3 linked regions of the Cricetulus griseus genome follow. The protein of the gene in region 3 purifies or fractionates together with the protein of the main gene of each other region. This does not show direct contact. Links are inferred from orthologs where the notes say so. Each region holds a gene or a part of one and is shown on either strand. Other genes may lie near its edges.

What was found.
Region 1: the proteins of Npc1 (region 3) and Sigmar1 purify together in Homo sapiens (affinity purification with mass spectrometry; 3 studies listed by BioGRID and IntAct, with this or other methods). This does not show direct contact. The link is inferred for Cricetulus griseus from reciprocal best matches to the Homo sapiens genes NPC1 and SIGMAR1.
Region 2: the proteins of Npc1 (region 3) and Pon2 purify together in Homo sapiens (affinity purification with mass spectrometry; 3 studies listed by BioGRID and IntAct, with this or other methods). This does not show direct contact. The link is inferred for Cricetulus griseus from reciprocal best matches to the Homo sapiens genes NPC1 and PON2.

The regions. Positions count from the first base shown.
Region 1 is NC_048595.1:100,860,176-100,867,083, reverse strand, and holds Sigmar1 (sigma non-opioid intracellular receptor 1), read right to left. Parts: upstream 3,906-6,908; 5' UTR 3,819-3,905; coding exon 3,668-3,818; intron 3,505-3,667; coding exon 3,304-3,504; intron 3,172-3,303; coding exon 3,079-3,171; intron 1,980-3,078; coding exon 1,753-1,979; coding exon of another isoform or gene 1,641-1,752; 3' UTR 913-1,640; downstream 1-912. Other genes in the region: Galt (galactose-1-phosphate uridylyltransferase), read left to right, coding at 4,126-4,155. UniProt on the Homo sapiens protein: Functions in lipid transport from the endoplasmic reticulum and is involved in a wide array of cellular functions probably through regulation of the biogenesis of lipid microdomains at the plasma membrane.
Region 2 is NW_023276806.1:219,553,146-219,560,060, reverse strand, and holds the start of Pon2 (serum paraoxonase/arylesterase 2), read right to left. Parts: upstream 4,035-6,915; 5' UTR 3,961-4,034; coding exon 3,887-3,960; intron 1-3,886. UniProt on the Homo sapiens protein: Capable of hydrolyzing lactones and a number of aromatic carboxylic acid esters. Has antioxidant activity. Is not associated with high density lipoprotein.
Region 3 is NC_048595.1:224,086,703-224,093,413, reverse strand, and holds the start of Npc1 (NPC intracellular cholesterol transporter 1 precursor), read right to left. Parts: upstream 3,979-6,711; 5' UTR 3,931-3,978; coding exon 3,874-3,930; intron 1-3,873. UniProt on the Homo sapiens protein: Intracellular cholesterol transporter which acts in concert with NPC2 and plays an important role in the egress of cholesterol from the endosomal/lysosomal compartment.

The sequences.
Region 1 (6,908 bases), about 120 Mb from region 3:
CCTGTGCCTGTCTGCCTGTGGGGTTCATACCCCACACAAGAACTCCTCAAGTGCTGGGTAAAAAGCAAACCAGAACAGAGGAAATCTCTTCCACATAGAGTTGCACTCCATACTCTGGGAGGCCCCAAAGCCAGCCTAGACTGCTTTTCAGCTCAAACGTGGGAGTATAGTGCCACCCCATGGCCATGTATGGCTAATTTCTCAGAACCAGGACTGAACTGGCAGAGTAGACACAGTACCTCACACTGCTCAATTCCTCATATTTTAAAACTGATCTCTATAGATGCAATCCAGTCAGCTGGAGACTCAGGAGCCTTCTAGGGTTGTGGTTAAAACCACACTTGCCAGGCATGCACAAAGCTCTGGCCCTAATCCTCAGCCCTAGGAAGCAGAGGCAGGATGATCAGAAGTTCAAGTTTGATTTCAGCTTCGTAAAGTAAATTCAATGCCATTCTTAGATTTAAAAAAGCTGTATGTGGTGGTGTTCACCTTTAGTCCCAGCACTCAGAAGACAATGGCAGACAGATATCTATAAGTTCTGGGACAGCCAAGGCTGTAAAGGGAGGCCTTGCTCCAACACCACCACCCCTAGAAAGACTGTCTCCTAAGTAATTCCTACTTAATTTTTATTTGCTTGGTTTTTCAAGACAGGGTTTCTCTGTGTAGCAGCCCTGGAACTTGCTCTGTAGACCAGACTGGCCTTGAACTCACTGAGATCTGCCTTCCTCTGCCTCCCAAGTGCTGGGATTAAAGGCATGCGCCACCATGCCTGCCCAGCCTCCTAAGTAATTCTTAAACACATTCAAATATATAGCCCCTTCTGTCCAAAACTGGTCTTACATACTGGATTGTAGGGCCTTTTGAAGTGCCCAGGAGGCAGCAGCCTTTCTACTGTTCACACACACAAGGAAATGGAACTGTTTAACAAGTTTTTATTACCAGAGACCGACAGGTAGACAGATAATGCAACAGAAATGTCTGGAAACAGAGGGGTGTGCACATAAGGGCTTCCTTTGGACTGGGGTGGCTCCTTGGACCCAAGATTCCTTCTCCAGGCCCTTTCCTTGAGGACAGGCCTGGGCTTAAGCCAGAATTCTCATCATACCCCCAACAGGGGTCTCTGAGATGGAAGACACTCCCTTTAGCCTTCTACACATTTCTCTGCTTTCCCAGCTGAGTTGGTTGCTGAGGGCAGGGAGGATAAGCCACAGGGGCACTTGCATAGCAGGAGGTGGAATGGAGATAAGGCATATGGTGAGGAAAAGGGAGATGAAGGGAAGGACATCATGGCAGCAGGTGAAGGGGGCCTCCCAAGGGCAGTTCCACTTTTCCTTTACTGAGATTCCTACTGTAGTATCAGAGTATCAGGCAGAATGAAACATCCACCCCAATCCTTAATCCCAGAGCCCTGAATGCCAGCAGCAAGCTCTGGAAAGGCCTGAGTCAGTGAGTCAAGCTTGTGATAGATGTTCAAACATGACTGGCCCCCTTCTTATATATGTAGGGGCCCTCTCTGGATGGATATGAGTACATGACCTTACAGTACATACAAATCTTAGCATCTCTATGTGTCTCACTGGCTCCCAAAGGGCTGTGTCTGGATGTGTAACTATGTATGACCTTCCTCATACAGTAGGAACTTAATATCTGCATGGTGTATGGTGCTGTCTGTGCATATGAGTTCCAGCAAGTAGATGAATGTGGTCCTGCCCACTCCTGTCCATCCACAGGTCTTCCTTCAGGCCTGGCTGGTCAGGGGTCTTGGCCAAAGAGGTAGGTGGTGAGCTCAAGCCGGAGGCCCCGGGCATAGGAGCGAAGGGTATAGAAGAGGGTGAGGAAGTCCTGGGTGCTGAAGACAGTGTCAGCCAGTGCAAATGCCAAGGTAGATGGAATGACACCTCGGCCGTACTCCACCATCCACGTGTTTGGTCCCCACTCCACAGCCGTTGCCTCTCCAGGTCCGTGTACAACTGTCTCTCCTTGGGGTTAGACAAGAAGCATGTCGTGAGAAGCCCAGGGATGCCCTTCTATAACTGCGTTTCCCTAGCCTTTGCACTATCTTTGCAGAGGTGGAGAATGAAAACACAGTTTCAAGAAAGGAAGAAACTCCACCCCATTGGTCTGGCTGCCAATCAGAGGGGAAATAGAGACCAAAACGCCCACTCCTAAATATCCTATGACATCGCCTGGCCCATGTCCTCTCTTGGGGGAGACTATGGAGGGCAACCCCCACCCAGCTACAGTCTAATATATGGAAGCAATGGGCACCTGCATTCTCATGTTTCACTCGTATCAAGTGGAAATGTTGCTAACCGAGCTGGGCTAGTATGACAGCTACAAGGCTTGCCAGGCTTTTCTGACGATTATCCTTACACCACCAAGTCCAAACTTTTTCTTTTAAATGGATGCAGAGGTCCAATTAAAAAACAATAGGCGTGCTGGTTGGTGGTGGCACATGCTTTTATTTTATTTTATTTATTTTTTTGGTTTTTCGAGACAGGGTTTCTCTGTGTAGCTTTGGAGCCTATCCTGGCACTCACTCTGTAGTCCAGGCTGGCCTTGAACTCACAGAGATCTGCCTGCCTCTGCTCCCGAGTGCTGGGAATGGCAGAGGCAGGCAGATCTCTGTGAGTTCAAGGCCAGCCTGGTCTGTATACAGAGCGAGTTCCAAGACAGCCAGGGCTGTTACACAGAGAAACCCTGCTTCGAAAAAAAAAAAAAAAAAAAAGGTTGAAAAACAACAACAAAACTCCCAAACTGTCTCACTAGTTTAAAAAGGATGGGAAATGAAATGTCTGTCTTAACTTTCAGGTATGATTATCTACCAAATAATTGCTGGAATAATGGCTGGGTAAAACAGGCTGATAAAAATCAGCCCCCTATGATGGGAAACTGCCGTGTTTTGTTTCCCTTTAACAAATGAAAGCGAAAGAGTTCCTCAGCTCCAACCTAACCAAACACCTGTGGTTTAGGGGACAGAAGGAAATCACTGGGTAGGCCTTTTTGATAGGCTCTTTCCTTGCCTTAGGCCTGTCCCCAGCTAGAGGGCGCCCACTCGGACATAACTTCCTTACTCACCTGGGTAGAAGACTTCACTTTTCGTGGTGCCCTCTCTCCACTGGTGGAAAGTGCCAGAGATGATGGTGTCAGAAATCTCAGCCCAATATCGCCCTGAGTGACAATAAAACAGACACCGCCCATCAGAGTATCCTTGTCAACACACGGCCCAACCAAACCTCAGAATGGAGGCATCCGACCTCGAACAGTCCCAGCCTCCCAATCCGGCCTACCGCCAGCACTGACCCGAATGGCCACGGGAGCCCAGGGCGGTGCCGAAGAGCAGCACGTACTCAGACAGCGAGGCGTGCAGAAGACACATGGCGCCCATCCAGCCGCCGGCGTTCACAAACACCCACTGCAGCTCCTCATCCGGCAGCACGTGGCCTGGGTGCAGCCTCCGCAGCTCCACGATCAGCCGAGAGAAGGCCAGCTCATGGTCCAGTCCTGATGCAAAGAGGAGTGGCGTGGGTGAGACCTGCCCCGGATTGAGGCTCGGCGGGGAAGGCGCCCTCGGGAAACGCAGCTCCGTTCCGCTCTGTGCCGGCCCATCTTGCTACCCGCCCTCACCCGCTCACCCGCTCACCCGCTCACCCGTTCACCCGCTCACCAGCGTACTGTCGAGCAAGCTGCGCTATCTCTTCTTGCTGGAAGACGAAGTTCTGAGTACCCAGCCACAGCCACACCGCCTGGGTCAGCACCGCGGCAACAGCCAGAAATAGGGCGATCCATGCCCACCGCCGGCCCAAGGACCACTGCATCACGGCGGGCAGCCGGGCACCACCAGCACAGGGGAGAGCTAGGGCCTCAGCTTATCCTCATACAGACTCAAAAGCCGCTGCCCACGGTCGCCCCCGCCACCATGGTACGGCTCGCCCGAGCCAATCGGAACGTTCGGGGCACTTGGCACCGCCCTCTGGATTGAACCATTTTATGACGGGTAGAGCAAAGGTTGGGTGGCGCGATTCACACGGGCGGTGAGGGGGCGGGGCCGAGCCGCCCCCAAAGTGTTCAGTCCTGGTGTCCTAACACTAAACTCTGTTGGGGATAGCTGCGGGAAGTCCCAGAATGGACTCACCCACCTGGGCTGGCGATCCCGTAAGTAGACAAAGCTTTCTAGGACTCGTGATTGCTAGCAAAGAAGCAGGGAGCACATAGTGCCACTGGGAAAGGCCTTCCAGGAGTGGTGACATCTGAAGTGTTTAGAAGAGAGAAGGACATTGCAGCTGATGGGAATCATTCCAATAGTCAAAGAGCGAAAAGGCGAGACATATATGTAGACAGGGTCTTACGATGTAGCCTTAGCTGGCCTGGAACTCGCTATGTAGTCTAGGCTGACCTCAAACTCACCGAGAGCCTTCTGCCTCTGCCTTTCCAGTGATGGGATTAAAGACGAGCACCACCATGCTTGTTTTCTCTGAGCCTACACTTCACCTTATGTTCTGAAGCACAAAAATGTGAAAGGCCAATAGGTTTATTAACTAGGGAACCATGGGATTCGCTATTGCCACAGAATGGTACTGGGTTCCATTTGGAGGGGAGCAAAATTGAACTAGGGTACAAGTAAGAGAGCCCATCTATGTCAGTGCTACCTAGTGAGATCTTGTTTCAGTGCTAACTCTGGGTGCTGCTGACAGGTCTCAGCATTTAAGAGCATACATTGACAGCTTTATCTGTAACATAGAATAAATAAATAAATAAGTATCTGCTTCATAGTACATACCTTTATTATGCCAATTATTAAGTGAATTACTATTTTAAAGTAGCTAGTGCCTGGCACATGGTTAAGGTTATGTATGTTAGTTGGAAGAAGACAACATAAAGCTGAGCGTAGTGCCACACACCTGTTATTCTAGAACTTGAGAAGTAAAGGCACAAGGAACAGTTAGTTGTTCAGGGTCACCCTTAGCAACACAGTCAGCACAGGTCACAGAAGACCATGTCTAAAGCAACAACAAGAACAGCAACAAAACCCGTAAGCAACTAGAAGAAACTAGCCTTATACACAGAAGTGATGGGATGAAGGATCACTGTAGTTAAATGTAACTGAGGGAGTCTGAGAGTATGTGGCAAGGACATTTCCTTTTGCTCTTGAGCGATGGTCAGGTAGGGCCTTGTGCCAAGGGCAGTGTAATGGAAGCAGAAGTGCTGTGTGACATTTCCAGATCTAGCTTCTAAAACAATGTGAAATCTTGGGCTGGAGAGATGCCTCATTGGTAACACTGCTGATCTTCCAGAGGACCCTGGTTTGATTTCCAGCACGTACAAGGTGGCTCACAAGTGTTTGTAACTCCAGTTCCAGTGGAGCCGACTCCTCTGACCTCTGTGGGAACTGCACACACATAGTACACTGACATACATGCAGGTAAAACACCAATACACATAAAAATAAAAAAATAATAATGTGAAATTCTATCCCCCCCCCCTTTTTTAACCTTTGGCCAGTTACAGAAGTCCTATTGTTGTGTGACAAAATGTTTCTTCAGGAGACGCAAGACACAAGTCTGCTCACACCAGATAGGGAATCCACAGCAGACCAAAGTACAAATACCACAAAAATCCAATTTGGTGGCCCAGTGAGTTTTAGGGGGTAACTTATGGGAGCAAAAATGACTAAAAGACAGCAGCTGCATCACCAAAGCCCACTCCAGCATTGCTGACAACTCACAAAAGCTAGGAACCTGAAGCACAGTGTACAGCCTGCAGATGGTTCAACAGGTTGGAGTTGAGTGCCTTTTCCAACTGATTCAGTTGATCCAAACCTCTTCTAGGCAGCTTGGCTCGTTTCTGCTTCTGCCAGGGAACTAGTCTGCTCCTGAGAGATTTCTTTACAGCTCAGCTTCATTGTGTCTGAGAGGGATTCCCAGCTTTTACTGCTTACTCTGGCAGGGAGGAGCCTAGTGAATCTGGTGGGTTTTAGGGACTTCATGAAGCAGTTGTTTTGAGTTGTTTACCTTCCTCCTTAAGGAGCTTCCTGCAGGATGGAAGGTTTCAATCCTAGGATACAAAACACCTATTGTGATGGCTATTTTTGGTTGTCAACTTGACTACCTGTGGAATTAACTAAAACCCAAATGACTGGGCACACCTATGTGGGATTTATTATTATTATTAATTAAATCAGTTGTAGTGGGAAGACCTACTTCCGATCGGGATCTTTGAGGTAGGAAGATACACCATTAATCTGGACCACTCCTTCTGCTTGCAGCATATATAAACAACATGAAGGTAGGAAGCTTGCTCTCTCTTTGCCTGCCTGCTCTCACCTTCGATGGCAAATCCATTCCTTCACTGGCATTAGAGCCTACTTCTTTGGATTCCAGAGTATATTGAAGACCAACTGAGACAGCCAGCCCTGTGGTGGACTGAACAACTACTGGGTTCTTGGACCTAGATAGCCACTGTTAGACTAGCTGGACCACAGCCTGTAAGCCACTCTAACAAATCTGTTCTCATTTACCATCTTAGTTGCTGTAACAACCCCCACCTCCCTGCCAAGCAATACCCAGAGCTCAGAGGGCCCTTCTATAGCAGGCTTCTGCCCTTACTCCAGGCAGAAACATTTTCTGAGACCATCAGGCTTGCAACTTCCCTCTCTGGTCTTTCAGAAACCTCCTCCAACCTAGTCCTTTAAAAAAAAAAAAAAAGATCCTAAGCCTTTGAGTGACTCCAAGCTGTCGCATCCAAGGGGATGCGAATGACAGCCATATTCCCTTAATGTCACAGCAGAGATCTTGTATCTGGGATCTGGAAGAGAGAGGAACAGATAGACCCTATATAGACCATTGTCCTCTTCCCCCTACAAAAGGGATCTGGAAAGACAGAGAAATGAGAGGCACGAAGATGTTCCT
Region 2 (6,915 bases), on a different chromosome or scaffold from region 3:
AGTAGCACAGGTCTGAGATCCCAGTACTGGGGCTGCAGAGACAGGGGAATCCATGGAGTCTACCAGCCAGCCAGGCTAGGGGAATCAGTGAGCTCCTGGTTCAATGAGAGATCCTGTTTCAAAGCATACCATGCAGAAGAAAGTAATTGAGGAAGACACGAAATGTCCATCTTCAGCCTCTGAGTGCATGCACACACTCACACACACACACACACACACACACACACACACACACACACACACACACACACACGAAATGGTGCTCTGTTTATCTAAACTCAAATGTAACTGGTAAACATGATTGTTTTGGGGGGTTGGGAACAATCTAACACTGACCCCACACACACACACACACACATTCTTACATCAGCCTCTCTGGGGCTTCAACTATCCAATAAAGTCACCAAGTCACCAGCTACAAAATCATTGCTCATCAAAGTTTACCTCGGTCAGGGATTTGTAAAGAGAGTTCGCACCAAGCTGTAAACTACCTACCCTCTGAATTCACTGAGTGTGTGTGGGCGTGTGGGTGTGGTGTGTGTGGGTGTGGTGTAGTGTGTTTGTTGATGGGATGCATGCACACATGTACATACATGTAGAAATCAGATTAGGACCCTGGGTTTGCATCCACCTTATCACCTAGAGACAGCCTGGGTTACAGGCATGCATGGCCCTGTCTGATTTTTACGTGAGTTCTTTGTACCACAAGCTCTCAGCACTAGTGATCCCTCCAGCCACATGGGTTCTCATCTATGCTTACTTTTCTTAAATTTGAAACTATACTGGTCACTCAGAGGGTCTTAAACTTTGGACTTGAAGGTTAGTAAGAAAGGGGAAAAGTTAACTATCGACTGAGCAAAACTCAGCTTGTGGAAACACTAATGATTTAACCGTTAGTGACCACTGGATGAGCCCAGGAATTTTTGTGTCTCCTTAATACTGAATGCACAAAGTCACTTAATCCCTAAGACCTCAAAAGCACAGGAAACCAAAACAGGAGACTACATCAAACTGGAAAGCTTCCATTGAATGAAACAACCAACCAACAGATTTCAGAAACAGCCCACAGAATGGGAGGATACATTTGCGATACACTCCATAGTAGTCAAAACCTGTAAGAAACTTGCATAACTCATTAGCAAAACAAAACAAGAGAATAAACTGAAACCCAAATAAGCAAAAGCCCTCAGTAGAATTTCTTAGAAGACAAACGATGGCCAAAGTGCTTATGAAGAAATAACCAGCTTCACCAGTCATCAGGGGAAAGCAATTCAAGCTCTCCAAGAGATACTATCTCACTCTAGTCAGAATGAGAGCTGCCAAAAAGAGACAGAGCAACAGTGAGCACGTCTCTGTCTATACTGGAGGTTGAATGCATGGTCCCATATAGGCTGGTACTCTCCCATTGAGCCACATGCCCTTTTCAGAAAGAGAGCCTTTTTAAAAGTCTGGGTGATGATGTAAAATGCTATGCCATTGTGAAAACAATATGGAGATGCCTTAAAATGTGTTGAAGTAGAAGTACCATATAGATTCTAGCCATGTCAACACTGGATATATAGCCAAAGGGAATGAAACCCCTGCTGAAGAGATGCTTGCATTTGGATAGTTTCTTTGCACTATACACTACAGCTCCCAAATGGAAAGTCCCTAAGGGCCAGCCACAGAGAAAGGGGAAAGGGCAGTGTGGTAGACCTTTAAAGTGGGTTCTGCTGTTGTCTTCAGCAGGGCAGTGACTATACAATAGTGTGTACTTCGAACTAGGAAGAAAGGCTTTTTCCTATTCTCATCTGAAAAAAAAAAATAGGGCAAGTGCTTACGGTGATGGCTGTGCTAATCATTATAGGTCTGGGAGCCCATAAATATGTACACTTATTGTATATCCATCAAAAACAAAACATGGCCCAAACCCATCTAATGCATGAACGTTCTGCAGAGCCATTACATTGGCCTTGGCATTCCCTACCACAGGCTTAAGCGTTCCTCCTTGTTCCAATGCTCCTACCCCCACACTTGGTGTCTTAGCACCAAGTGAGGCTGCAGCTATGGGACCCTGGAATTATCTTGCAAGCCACACTTTCACTTCGGCCTTGTCTCTCATTCCTGGGGATGCAGTCTGGGTCTCCTTTATCATTTCCAACCCTCTGTGATGCTCTGTTTTCCCCACATCCAGTCCAGTAGCTCTCAACGCTGATGATGCATAGTATACACAAGAATTACCAAGAGAGAGATGTGTGTGGTCTGTGTTTTGATTTTGTAGCGTGGTGCTGGGGCTGGAACCCCAAGCTTCAAGCATGCTGAGCAACGATCTATCACTGAGCTACACTACAGGTCTTTAGGAAAGAGCAAATATTAAAGGAAAAAGAAAATCCTGTACATCGTGGTGGTGTGTGCCTGTAATAGCAGCAAGTTGGGAGACCAAGAATCCAGAGTTTCAAGACTAGACTGAGCTTCAAAACAGAGGATATAGCGGATGTAGCGTGAGACTTCATCTCAAAACCAAGAATTATATATATATATATATATATTATATATATATATATATATATGCAAACCAAAAACTGAAGTCCTAGCCCCACCCCGACCAATTAAATTAGAATTTGTCACATGGTGCCACTTGGATACCAGGGTTCCAGGAGATCCTTTAATGAGGCCACTACTGCTCTGTCCTTATACACTATTTTGTATAGTACAAGACTCCTTAGATCAGCGGGATGCTAAACAACCAATAAACACTAACACTCCCCTTTTGCCTATCAGAGAGAGCCCAACTTCGAAGCCTCAGACACATGGCAAGCCCTGTCCTCCAGTTGCTGTTCGTAACTTTCCCCAACGTGGCCTCTTTGCTGGCACTACACTTGCCACAGGGGATGGTCAGCTTCATGCTTCTCTCCACCCCCCAGCTGTCAGATTGCTCCTCCTTCCAGAACACCTTCAGAGGGCGGCTTCTTTTCTCTTTAACTCTATAAGGATTCCATTTTCCTGTTTTGGATATCCAGTTCCCATATTTTTCTCCTGTATCAAAAAGGACTTCATTGATCCCCCAGGGAAGACCTCACCCTCTCTGGGGAGCAGAAAGGGGATGGGGGAGGGGAGGAGGGGAGGGAGAGGGATCTGAGATTGACAATAAAACAAGCTTGTTTCTAATTTAAATTTAAAAACAAAACAAAACAAATCTGGACTTCATTTAGGGTTCCCAGTTCTCTACAGGAACCTGGGGCAAACATGTCCCTACTACCTTGTAGGCACTCAAATGTTCTGGAACTCTTTTGCAAGAGGCTTATACCCTTTGAATTGGTAACTTGAAAGCCTGATGTCTACCCAGAAGGTTTTCTCTGTAGTTAAAATCTGACCATCGCTCGTTCTGCTCCTGGAGCTCTGGTGAATAAATAAGGAAATGATGTAAGAACAGTAGCTGTCTGTCTTCTTTGATCTCCAGAACCAAGACTGGAGCACCGAAGTTTCCCCAACTATTATATTGGAGAGGCTTGGGTTCCGGCTGTGGAGAACAGCACCAGTGACCTGCAATAAAGCTGTGTAATTAGAGCACCCACGCATGAGTAATGGTTTTGTTTTCAAATTAAAGCACTGGGTTTGGCCCTAGGGAAATTTGCAAAGCTCTCTCTTGTCCGCCTAGGCAGAAGAACCTCGTCACCAGCCCAGGCTGGGAAAAACTTTTTACAAAGTGACTAGGTCGTGATGGCGGTGGACTGGGCCAGCTGAATGGGACACCGGTGATGATCCAAAGTTCTTCCCTCGGCCTGGTCCCCTGAGCTACATGAGCTCTAGCTCCAGTGCGCCCCCCTCCACCTCTACCCCCCCGCCCCAAGCAGCTGGGCCATCCCAGCCTGAGGATCTTCGACCCGGGGTCCTCGGCAGCACCTACCTGAGCGCCAGGAACCGCTCGCCCAGCAGTGCCAGCCCGATGCCCAGCAAACTCAGTGCCACCAGTCGCCCCATGGCGCGGGACCCGCCCGCCGTCTGGCTCCGGCCTGGCCGGGCTGCACGGGACGCTGGGCCAGCTCCCCGCCCCGAGCGCAGGGCCGCGCCTGCTCCCCGCCCAGAGCGCCGGCTCTGCAGCCCAGACTCCGCCCGGCGCCGCGGCCTCGGAGCACAGCCGCACATGGCCGCGTGGGAACCCGACTGAGCTGCCTGCTTTCAAAACGCCCCACGCGCTGCTGCACCTGCTCATCGCCTTGAGAAACTTTGGAGTGACCTCTGTGGAGTCTGCTTCTTTAGTCAAATTTGGGCTCTGCTTTGGTTGTTTTGTTTTGGTGTTTGGGGGGATTTTCCCCTCTCTTTTTATTTATTTTTGGTTTTGAGAAGCTAGGAATCAAACCCTTACCCTTGTCCGTATTAGGCAAATACTGAGCCACACCGACAACCATAGAGTAGTTTTGTTGTGGGATTTCTGTGTAGTATATTCATGTTATTTAATATTAAACAGTGTAGAAAATGTAGTTATTTAATATTAAACATTATATATAAAGTATACCATATATATTAAAATTATACTTTTTTTTCTTTCTTTTTGTTTTTAAAACCAGGTCTCACGTAGTCCAGGCTGGCAGTCAGTGAACTTCTGATACTCCATATGCCAAGTGCGTGGGCCCCTCATGGCCCTCCCTAGACTAATATGCTTTGGTTTAGAATTTTTATTTCATATGCATGGGTGTTTTCTTTGCATGTGTGTATATGTACCACATCCATGCCTGCTGTCTACAGAGGTCAGAAAAGGGTGTCCAATACCCCCGGAAGTTTAGCGAGTCTTCTTAATGCTCAGCCATCTCTCCAGCTATGATGTTTCAATATTCCTTTCCTCTTTTTATTTTTTTCTTATTTGAAAAAAGAGAAAAAAAGAAAAAAACAGTTGTGGACAGGCCTTACACAAACTTAGAAGTGGAATTGCACTCTTTTCTATTAAGATTTATTTTAGACTAAAATCCCTTAAACTCAGAATTCATTGGAGTATTAGTAAATTTTCCCTCCTTCCTCCCTTTTCATTTTAATTCTTATATTTATATACACTTATATTTGATACTTGTGAAGGAATAAAAATATATAAAGAGGGAGCTCACTCAATGAGATTACAACAGCTGCTGACTGTAACTTCGATAATCTGAAGTGAGTTTCCACTTGTTTCCAGGTTTTAACTCTCACCTGCAATATAGAAGTTAAAAATCAGTGGATTCTTAAGGAACATCATTCTTTGACAGTGTTCTATTGTTGTAGCCTAGGCTGACCTTGAATTTGAGGCTTTCTTGTCTTACCCTCAAGAGGGTTACCAGCATATGCTGCCACATCAGGCCAAACTTCTGTCTTGTAACCAACCCTTGAGGAAAAGCAGGTGCCAGTTTGTACCTGGCCCCTTACCAAAGGGGAAAAAAAGATCTCTGTGCTCCACACATCTGTGACCAGCCCAAAGGGACCCTGGGTTGTATCTAATGGCTGATGGAGAGCTGAACAACTGTCCTTTCTAAGTCCCAGAGGCTGTATCTTTGATGCACTCTCCAATCCAGGCACCTTTGCAAAATAACATTTGCTAGTGCACAGGATTAGATGCATGGGGTTTCCAGAGGAACCAACTACATTCAAATGTGATTGTTGAAGTGTTTGAAAAATGCGTTCCTGCCACAGAAATATAGTAATGCCACACCCCTCACACCCTGGCACAGGGACCATTTTGTGCCCTTCCTTAATGGCACCCATGTGTTAGGTGTGATCTTTAACACATCAAATAAAAAAGCTCTAGAAACATTCTTTCAAATGAAGACAAAGGGCAAGGGTTGGGGACCAAGTGCAAAGTTCAGTCTCCCCATGAGGCTAAGGCAGAGACTGCTGCATTTTGTGTTTGAAACTAGTCTAGACTAGAAAAAAACTCAAATGAGGATCATCTTGTTATTTAAATACAATGTAACAACTATAATTAACTGTGAAGCTATTACTTCCTTTGGTAACAAGGTTTCATTAATGCTTTCTTACCTTCATAAATAAAAAAAAATTACAAAATTTCTTCTGTAATCAGGTAGTTTTTTTCTCCTTCATCCAAAATTATCAACAGATCTGAACTTCCTTCCTTCCTTCCTTCCTTCCTCCCTTCCTTCCTTCCTTCCTTCCTTCCTTCCTATCTTCCTCCCTACCTTCCTTGTGTTTTTCTTCCCTTCACAAGCATCCTGACTCTAAAATACACCTTCAGATCCTTCTATATTGTCCAGGGACCTCTTAAGTGAAGAAATCTAGTTTGAGACATGACTGACTGGATAGACAGGTATGGAATTCTACTATCTGTGACATGAATCAGCACAGAAGATCAGTACTTAGAAAGGTGTGGAGCTATTACCTAAGCCCCTGGCTTAAGTCTGAGAATTTGTTCAAGGATTCCTGGGTAGTCTGGGGTGCGGGGATGGGGGTGTAGGTGTGGGGAGGTACCTAAGCATCCGTAGTGTACTGGGAGGCAAGACTCAGGCAGTGCCTCTTCCCACATGCCCTAAAATGAAGTCACAGAGCATGAAGTTTACCTAATTCTGTGCTATTCTTAAGGTCTAGGAAGATCCCAATAAGTTGGTCCTTAGAGTATTTATCACCAAGCTCAGACTTGCCCACAGTGTTTCTGGACAACAGCTGGGGAACAAGAATTCGCTGGCTGACTTCAGTCAGCATGGCCACCCATTGATGACTTGTTGCTCTGGGAACAACATTCTGGGCTTCAGCACACATCTCAGAGGAGCTAGGAGAAACCATGCTTTACTTATTTAGTTTGAAAGACTTGCTTTACTTCTGCGTGTTTGTATACCCATGTGTGCAGGTGCCCTTGGAGGCCAGAGAGGGTATTGGATTCCCTGGAGTGAAGTTAGTTACAGGTGGTTGTGAGCCATACAAGGTGTACACTGGGACCAAGCTCCAGATCTCTGAAAG
Region 3 (6,711 bases):
ATGAGGGAATTAATTTGAATTCCTCTTGTGACCAAAGAAACAACTGTAAAAAGGTCAAAGAGAAAGTGTTAGATGTCTTTCAAATCCTCCCAGAAGCGTATTCACTGTATGAGAGGATTTTAAAAACATGTACTTATTGTTTAAACCATGAATTTTTTTTTTTTTTTAAAGTTCTGTTGCCTAAGCAAATCTTCCAAAGACTAAGATTAAAGGCATAGGCTGGGAGCTGCCACAGGTGGCTCAGTTGGTGAATCAGTGCTTGGCACACAAGCATGAGGACCAGAATTTGGATGTCCAGCACCAATGTCCATAGTCAGGCACTGTGGTACATGCTTATAGTCCCAGAACTGAGGAGGCAGAGACAGGAGGATGGTCCCTAGGGCTTGCTGACTAGCTAGTCTGCTGAAGAGGTGAGCCCAGGTCTCAACAGTGACCGAGGAAGACACTTGACCTCTGCCCTCCATGTGCACATCATCCTCACCTCCCCCACCACACGCAGGCAAAGAAAGTCCTAGCTACTCACAGTCGTCACCAGAAATCAATGGCAAATACTGTGTGTGTGTGTGTGTGTGTGTGTGTGTGTGTGTGTGTGTGTGTGTGTGTGTGTTCATTAGTGTTTTATATAACATATGTCTGTGTGAGGGTTTCAAAAGCCCTAGAACTTGAGTTATAGACAGGTGTGAGCTGCCATGTAGTCTTCTGGTCCTCTGGAAGAGCAGCCAATACTCCCAACTGCTGAGCCATCTCTCCAGCAAATACATTTTTTTTTTTAAATCACAACTAATATTTAAGTCCCTTTTCAAGATCCACTTCTAAGCGTGGAGACTTAATGATTAAAAAGAGCCATCAAAAGTCCTGGCCCCATATGGATATAAAATATAGTTCTTTCCCTCAAGGGGCCTGCAGTTTGCCATTTCAGTTACAAAGCAAACAAATAACTTTTACAAACACCCTGGAAAGTGGGCACAGTTAATTTGACTTCACAGGGGGAAAACTAAAGTTCCAGTGGGGAGAGATGGAGTTAAGATGTCCCCCCAAACCAGGTCTTTGAGTTCAAAGATTTTGTTAACAGAAAATGCCATTGCAGCAGTTTAAGCAAAAATCAAGAACTTCCACGGGGGAGGGGGGATAAACAGAGAGTTGGCTCAGCCATTAAGGGCACTGACCGTTCTTTCAGAGGTCCTGAGTTCAATTCCTGGCAACCACAAGGTGACTCACAACCACCTTGAATGAGATCTGGTGCCTTCTGCTGGCATGCAGACAGAAGACTGTATACATAATAAATAAAATCTTTAAAAAAAAAAAAACATCGCAAAAAGAAATAAATAAAAATAACGTTTCAAAAAAAAAAAAAAAAACTTCCATGGGACATCCTGGCTGGGGAACAGCACAATGTCACCAATAAGGCTCCAGGCAACAGGGACCTTGGGCAAAGACTGTGCAGTATTGATAGCAAATGGTTGGATTTGTCTGGAGAGCAGATACCCTCTGCAGAACCCCATGCGACAGTGAAAAGGGCACCTGAGATGGCTTAATTCAGACTCCCCAGCAGGTGATGCGCAATGCTTGAAACAGTGTGCCTCTTTAAAAGTGGCCTGAGGAAGCTAAGCCAGGAGAGGATGCCCATGCCTCCCTCAACAGAGGGACTCTTTGTTCTGGGTAATATAATAAATTCGGAGAAATACAAAGTTCCATTCAGCAAGCCCTTTACTCTTTACCCACTTGCAAACAAAGGAAAAAGACCTTCCTTTTCCAGTTCGTAATTTATGTTATCAAATCTTACTCCATCAATCTGACTGATGGACTGAAGCTGGGGAAGATTACACATAGCCACTCCAATTTCATGAGATTATTAACCCTGAAAAAGCCACTTAAGTGTTTAATGAGTACTCAGACCTCAACACATTCCAACTTCCTCAAGGGGGAAAAAGTCAGCCAGGCAAGACAAGTTTATTGCCCCAAATTGCATTCATACCTGGATGAACACAGGTAGGTTGTTGTTTGTTTGAGACAGGGTCTCGACATTTACCTGGCTGGCTTAGAATTTGCTAGGTAGAACAGGCTGGACTCAAACTTACAGAGATCTGCCTGACTCTTCCTCCCTAGGGCTCAGATTAAAGACGTGCACACCATGGCAATACAGACACTAAAAACAAGCTGTCTAAACCAGGTGTGCTGCTTCATGCCTATAACTCTAGCACTTAGGGGGCTGAAGCAGGCTCAGAGTGAATTCAAGGCACACCTGAGCAACACAGTGAGAGTCAGAACCTGGACTCTTACAGAGAAACCCTGGCACACACAAAAAGCCAAAACAAACAGAAAAAGAGAACACTCAAGTTGGCAATGTTACTATTCCATCATCTGTAAATAGAAAAATTTAAAGAGAAAACCAAAAATCTCTCCAAATGTGTTTTAGATTTTCTAAAGGACAACTGCCTCTAATTTGCAAGCAACCTGATGAGGTAGGGCCACTGACCAGTATGAGTTCTAAAACCAGATACCCCACCCACATGGCTGCCACAGCTGCCCCAGAGCCTCTAGATAGCAGGGAGCTGAGTTCTAAAACAACAATGGGAGCATTTCTAGACAAGAGGGCTTTGGAAAGACTCTCAGGCATTTTGCAAGAATATCAACTTCTGGTTTACTTCACGTGAGAGGAGCCCATTGCTTATCAACCTTGAAGGCTACCTTGAGGTAAAAGCAGAGATAAGCTTAAACCACTTTATAATGTGGAGTCTGCTGATTAGGAAAAGAAACTGCTGACATCTTCTCCAAGGCACTACATTAGTCAGGGAAACAGCTTCTCCATACACTAACTTCATTTCACAAATGATGAGGTATTTATCATCTCAAAAAAATCAAGGCTGAGGCAAACACCTAAAACCGACTTGGCAAGGGTTGGCCTGTCCCAAACAGCTCCCTGAACTGTCTTCCTTGCTTTCCCTTACCTTGGGTACAGCCTGGAAGCTGCATGTGTACTCCTGACTCCTGGGCCCTCCCAGGCTGGCATCTTTAGGCTGCTCTAAGCACTGCACAGAGATTTAAAGTTCAAAGGATAGGTTTCCTAGGCCGGGTAACCCCTTCGTCTGATTCACCCCCTTGTCATAATCCAAGTCCATCAGAGGGGAGTTAGTGGGCACAAGGGCACAGAATTTCCATTGACTTAGTCATCCTGATTTGGTTTAATTAGTACTCTTCCCTAGGCATCACCACACACACACCCACCGTTTCCAATGAGAAAACTGTAGACACACAAATAGCGACGCACCCATGCCCAAGTTGGCCACAGCAAGAAAAGCCAGATGAGGGAGGTCACTACACTGTTCCTGGTGTCGTCCTGTCCCTAGCTAATTGTGGGCCTACAGTATTTGTTGGCCTCAGTTTCCTGAGACGTTAAATGAACGTGAAAAGAGGCAACCCACACTAGATCAAGCTGAGTCAATCTGGTGCCTGGAGTTTTGTTCTCGGCTTCCACCGTCTGGAGATAAGGGGCAATGATGCAGTCGAAGCTAAGTAAACTTAAGAGCTCGTGTGCATGTAGAATTTGTTTTGTTTAAAATGGCTAAAAACAAGCAAAGTCCCTATCCTCTGCACCCATTGTCCCTCCAATTCCCACATCCTAAATCAGGTGACCACAGCTGGAATGGGCTCAAAGCCGGCCAAACAGCGGCCCCGGCTGTCACTTCTCCCAGACCACAGAACAGCGCGAGGGTGGACAGACACTGGAGAAGGCGACCTCCGCGGCTGCACCCGCCGACCAACTTCCCCGCGCCCGCGCCCGCGCCCCCAGCTCCCGCGCCCGCGGTCTCCGGAGCGGCCGCACCACCCCGCCGCATCCCGCCCAGCCCGCCCGGGTCTCTGGAAGCCGCTCACCTGCGCAGGGCACAGCAGCAGCAGGAGGAGGCCGAGGGCCGGGTGGCGCGCGCTCATGTTGTCGTCGCGCGGGGCTACCGACCGCGGTTCTGCTTGCCGTCCACCGCGACCCGAGCGCCGCCGCACTGGCTGGGCGGTTTCGGGACCGGCGCCTGAGAGTGCTGGCGCAGGCGGCGGGCTGCGCGCGCAAGTCAGGAAGCACGGAGGCGGGGTCAGGGCTGCCGCCGCTCCGAAGCCCCAAGGGGTGGGGCTAAGCCCTCGGGGCGGGGCTTAGAGCTCCGAGCAGGGCGGAGCCCGGCCGGAGCCCCGCCTGCTGGCCTCGCTCCCCCTGAAGGCGTCTTACAGCGCAGGTCTCAGGACCCCTCGCCAAAGCCTCCCCGGGAACCAGTCCAGCTCTTTTGTGCCGTCCTATCCCTGCGCGCCCCTCGGATGGGATCTCTCACACTTGAGAAACACGCATCTTTGGATGGTACTCTGGGCTTACTCCAATAACGTCTGACTTTGATGTTTTAACTTACTGCTCCCCCTTCTCTCTCTGGGTTGGAGAGGTTGGGCGAGGTTTTAGCGCGTAGTACTTCGAGGCAATTTTCCTAATTAAGAACCCAGAACACTGGGACATTTCATCCCCTGTTTCTTTTATATTTATTTATTTTTGGTTTTTCGAGACAGGGTTTCTCTGTGTAACAGACTTCAGCCTTTGTTTCTTTAGGCCCCGATAAGTACTCTGATCAACTCTCCCAATCCCAACTACCCAAAGAGGATCGGTGCTGGAACATCTTCTATCCCGCTCGGGGCGGTGACGACCGTGGCCTGACCCTATTGTGATCTGACAACTCAGTGTAGCCGCGCTTCCCATGACAGATCTGTTTACTGCTCAGACCAGTTTTGAGAACGCAATACACAGCGCCACCTACCGGCCGAGGCGTGTCTAGCAGTGAGCCCATGTTTATGGCAGAAATACAAAATACACAATAATTTAGAGACAATTGAAAAAAAATCACTTATAATTCCACCACGACGGACAGCCTATGTTACATTGTGCTGCATTTTCTCTTTTTACGAGTTTTTTCTTTGTGAAAATTATTTTAATTTGGTTGAGACCCAAACGGAGGCTTTTTGCTTGCTCAATACCACCATCACCACTTCCTTCCCTAAACGTCCTTACATTCCCAAACTTGTCTGGATTCCACAAAGCCTCGACTCTTCCTGAACTCTTGGTTTCCCTATGGTACTGCGTTACAAAAGCCTAAAAGCTATGATGATTTTCCAGAGAGAGAGAGAGAGAGAGAGATGAACAAAAGTTTCCGGAAAGAAGCCTCACCCATTTCAGACATTCTGCAAGGCTGATTGACTGCTTAGAACTTCTAGAACTTCTGTGTTCATCCAGAGCTAGAACGTTGCAGGTCCATAGTCAAATTATTTCAGGCTCCCTATTCCTGTATCACCCACCCGTGTGTTTGACCTAATGTCCTTGTGACTATCAGGTAAATCCCTTTGAAATGTATAGTAAGTCCTCTGTCTGCAATCAATCCAACGGCTAAAAACATCAAGAGAACATCAAGAGATGATATCTGAGACGATACACAGAGGCTTCCTGGCTTTGCTGTAATTTATCTATCTGATGCTTCCACCAACCTCTTTAAAATGTTCCTTTACTATTTTCTTTGTACTTTGTGGAACCGCTACCACATTGGCACATGGTATTTGAGGCACCTGAACCTGTGTTCCTGGGCCATGGTCATTCCTGTGTGTGTGTGTGTGTGTGTGTGTGTGTGTGTGTGTGTGTGTGTATGCATGCGTGCTCAAGCACACACAAATTGACCCAAGATAAAATTCTATTTAGTTGGCAGATACACACACACACACACACACATATGTATATATATATGTATATATATGTATACATGTGTGTTCTTGTGTTCACGCACATATGTGTGTATGGAGGCCAGGTGTTCCTCAAGTGCAATTCATCTTGTGTTTCTTTTAAAAAGATTTATTAATTTTAATTTCCTGTGTTTGGGTGTTTTGCCTGCATGTATATCTGTGCCCCATGTGAGTGTCTGGTACCCATGGAGGTCAGAAGAGGACATTGGATCCCATAGAACTGGAGTTATAGACATCTGTGAGCCACCATGTGGGTGCTGGGAACCAAACTCAGGTCCTCTGGAAGAACAGCAAGTACTCTTATCCACTGAGCTAGTCCCTTTCCTTTTAAAGATTATTTTTACAATGCATATGCTTATGGGTATGGGTATTGTACATGAATACAGATTCCTATAGAGGCCATAAGGGGCTACCAGATGCCCTGTAGCTGGATATACAGGTGGTTGTGAACTGTCCAAAATAGGCACTGGAAGCTGAACTTCAACCTTCTTCAAGAAGAGCAAGTGCTGTCCAGACCCCACCTTGTTTTTTGGGACAGAGTTTCTCACCTGGAGCTGAGTGTCTGGGGCTCACCAATTAGGCTAGGCTGGCTGGCCACCTGTTTTTCTCTCCCCAGTAATGGGATTACAAGCATATCGCTCCGTATCTGATTTTTTTTATATTGGTTCTGGGAACTGAACTCACATCTTCATGCCTGCAAGACAAGCACCTTGCTGACTTTGCTCTCTCTGTCTCCAGTCCCCTCCAAAAGCTTATTGTTAAGAAAATTATCCTATGTGTTGCTGATAAAAACACACACGCTAACACACACACACACATTCACACACACTAACACACATTCATACATATACACTCACAAACTAACACACACTGATACATATACATTCACACACACTCATACACATACACACATTTATACGCACACACACACTCACACACATTCACATGCATGCA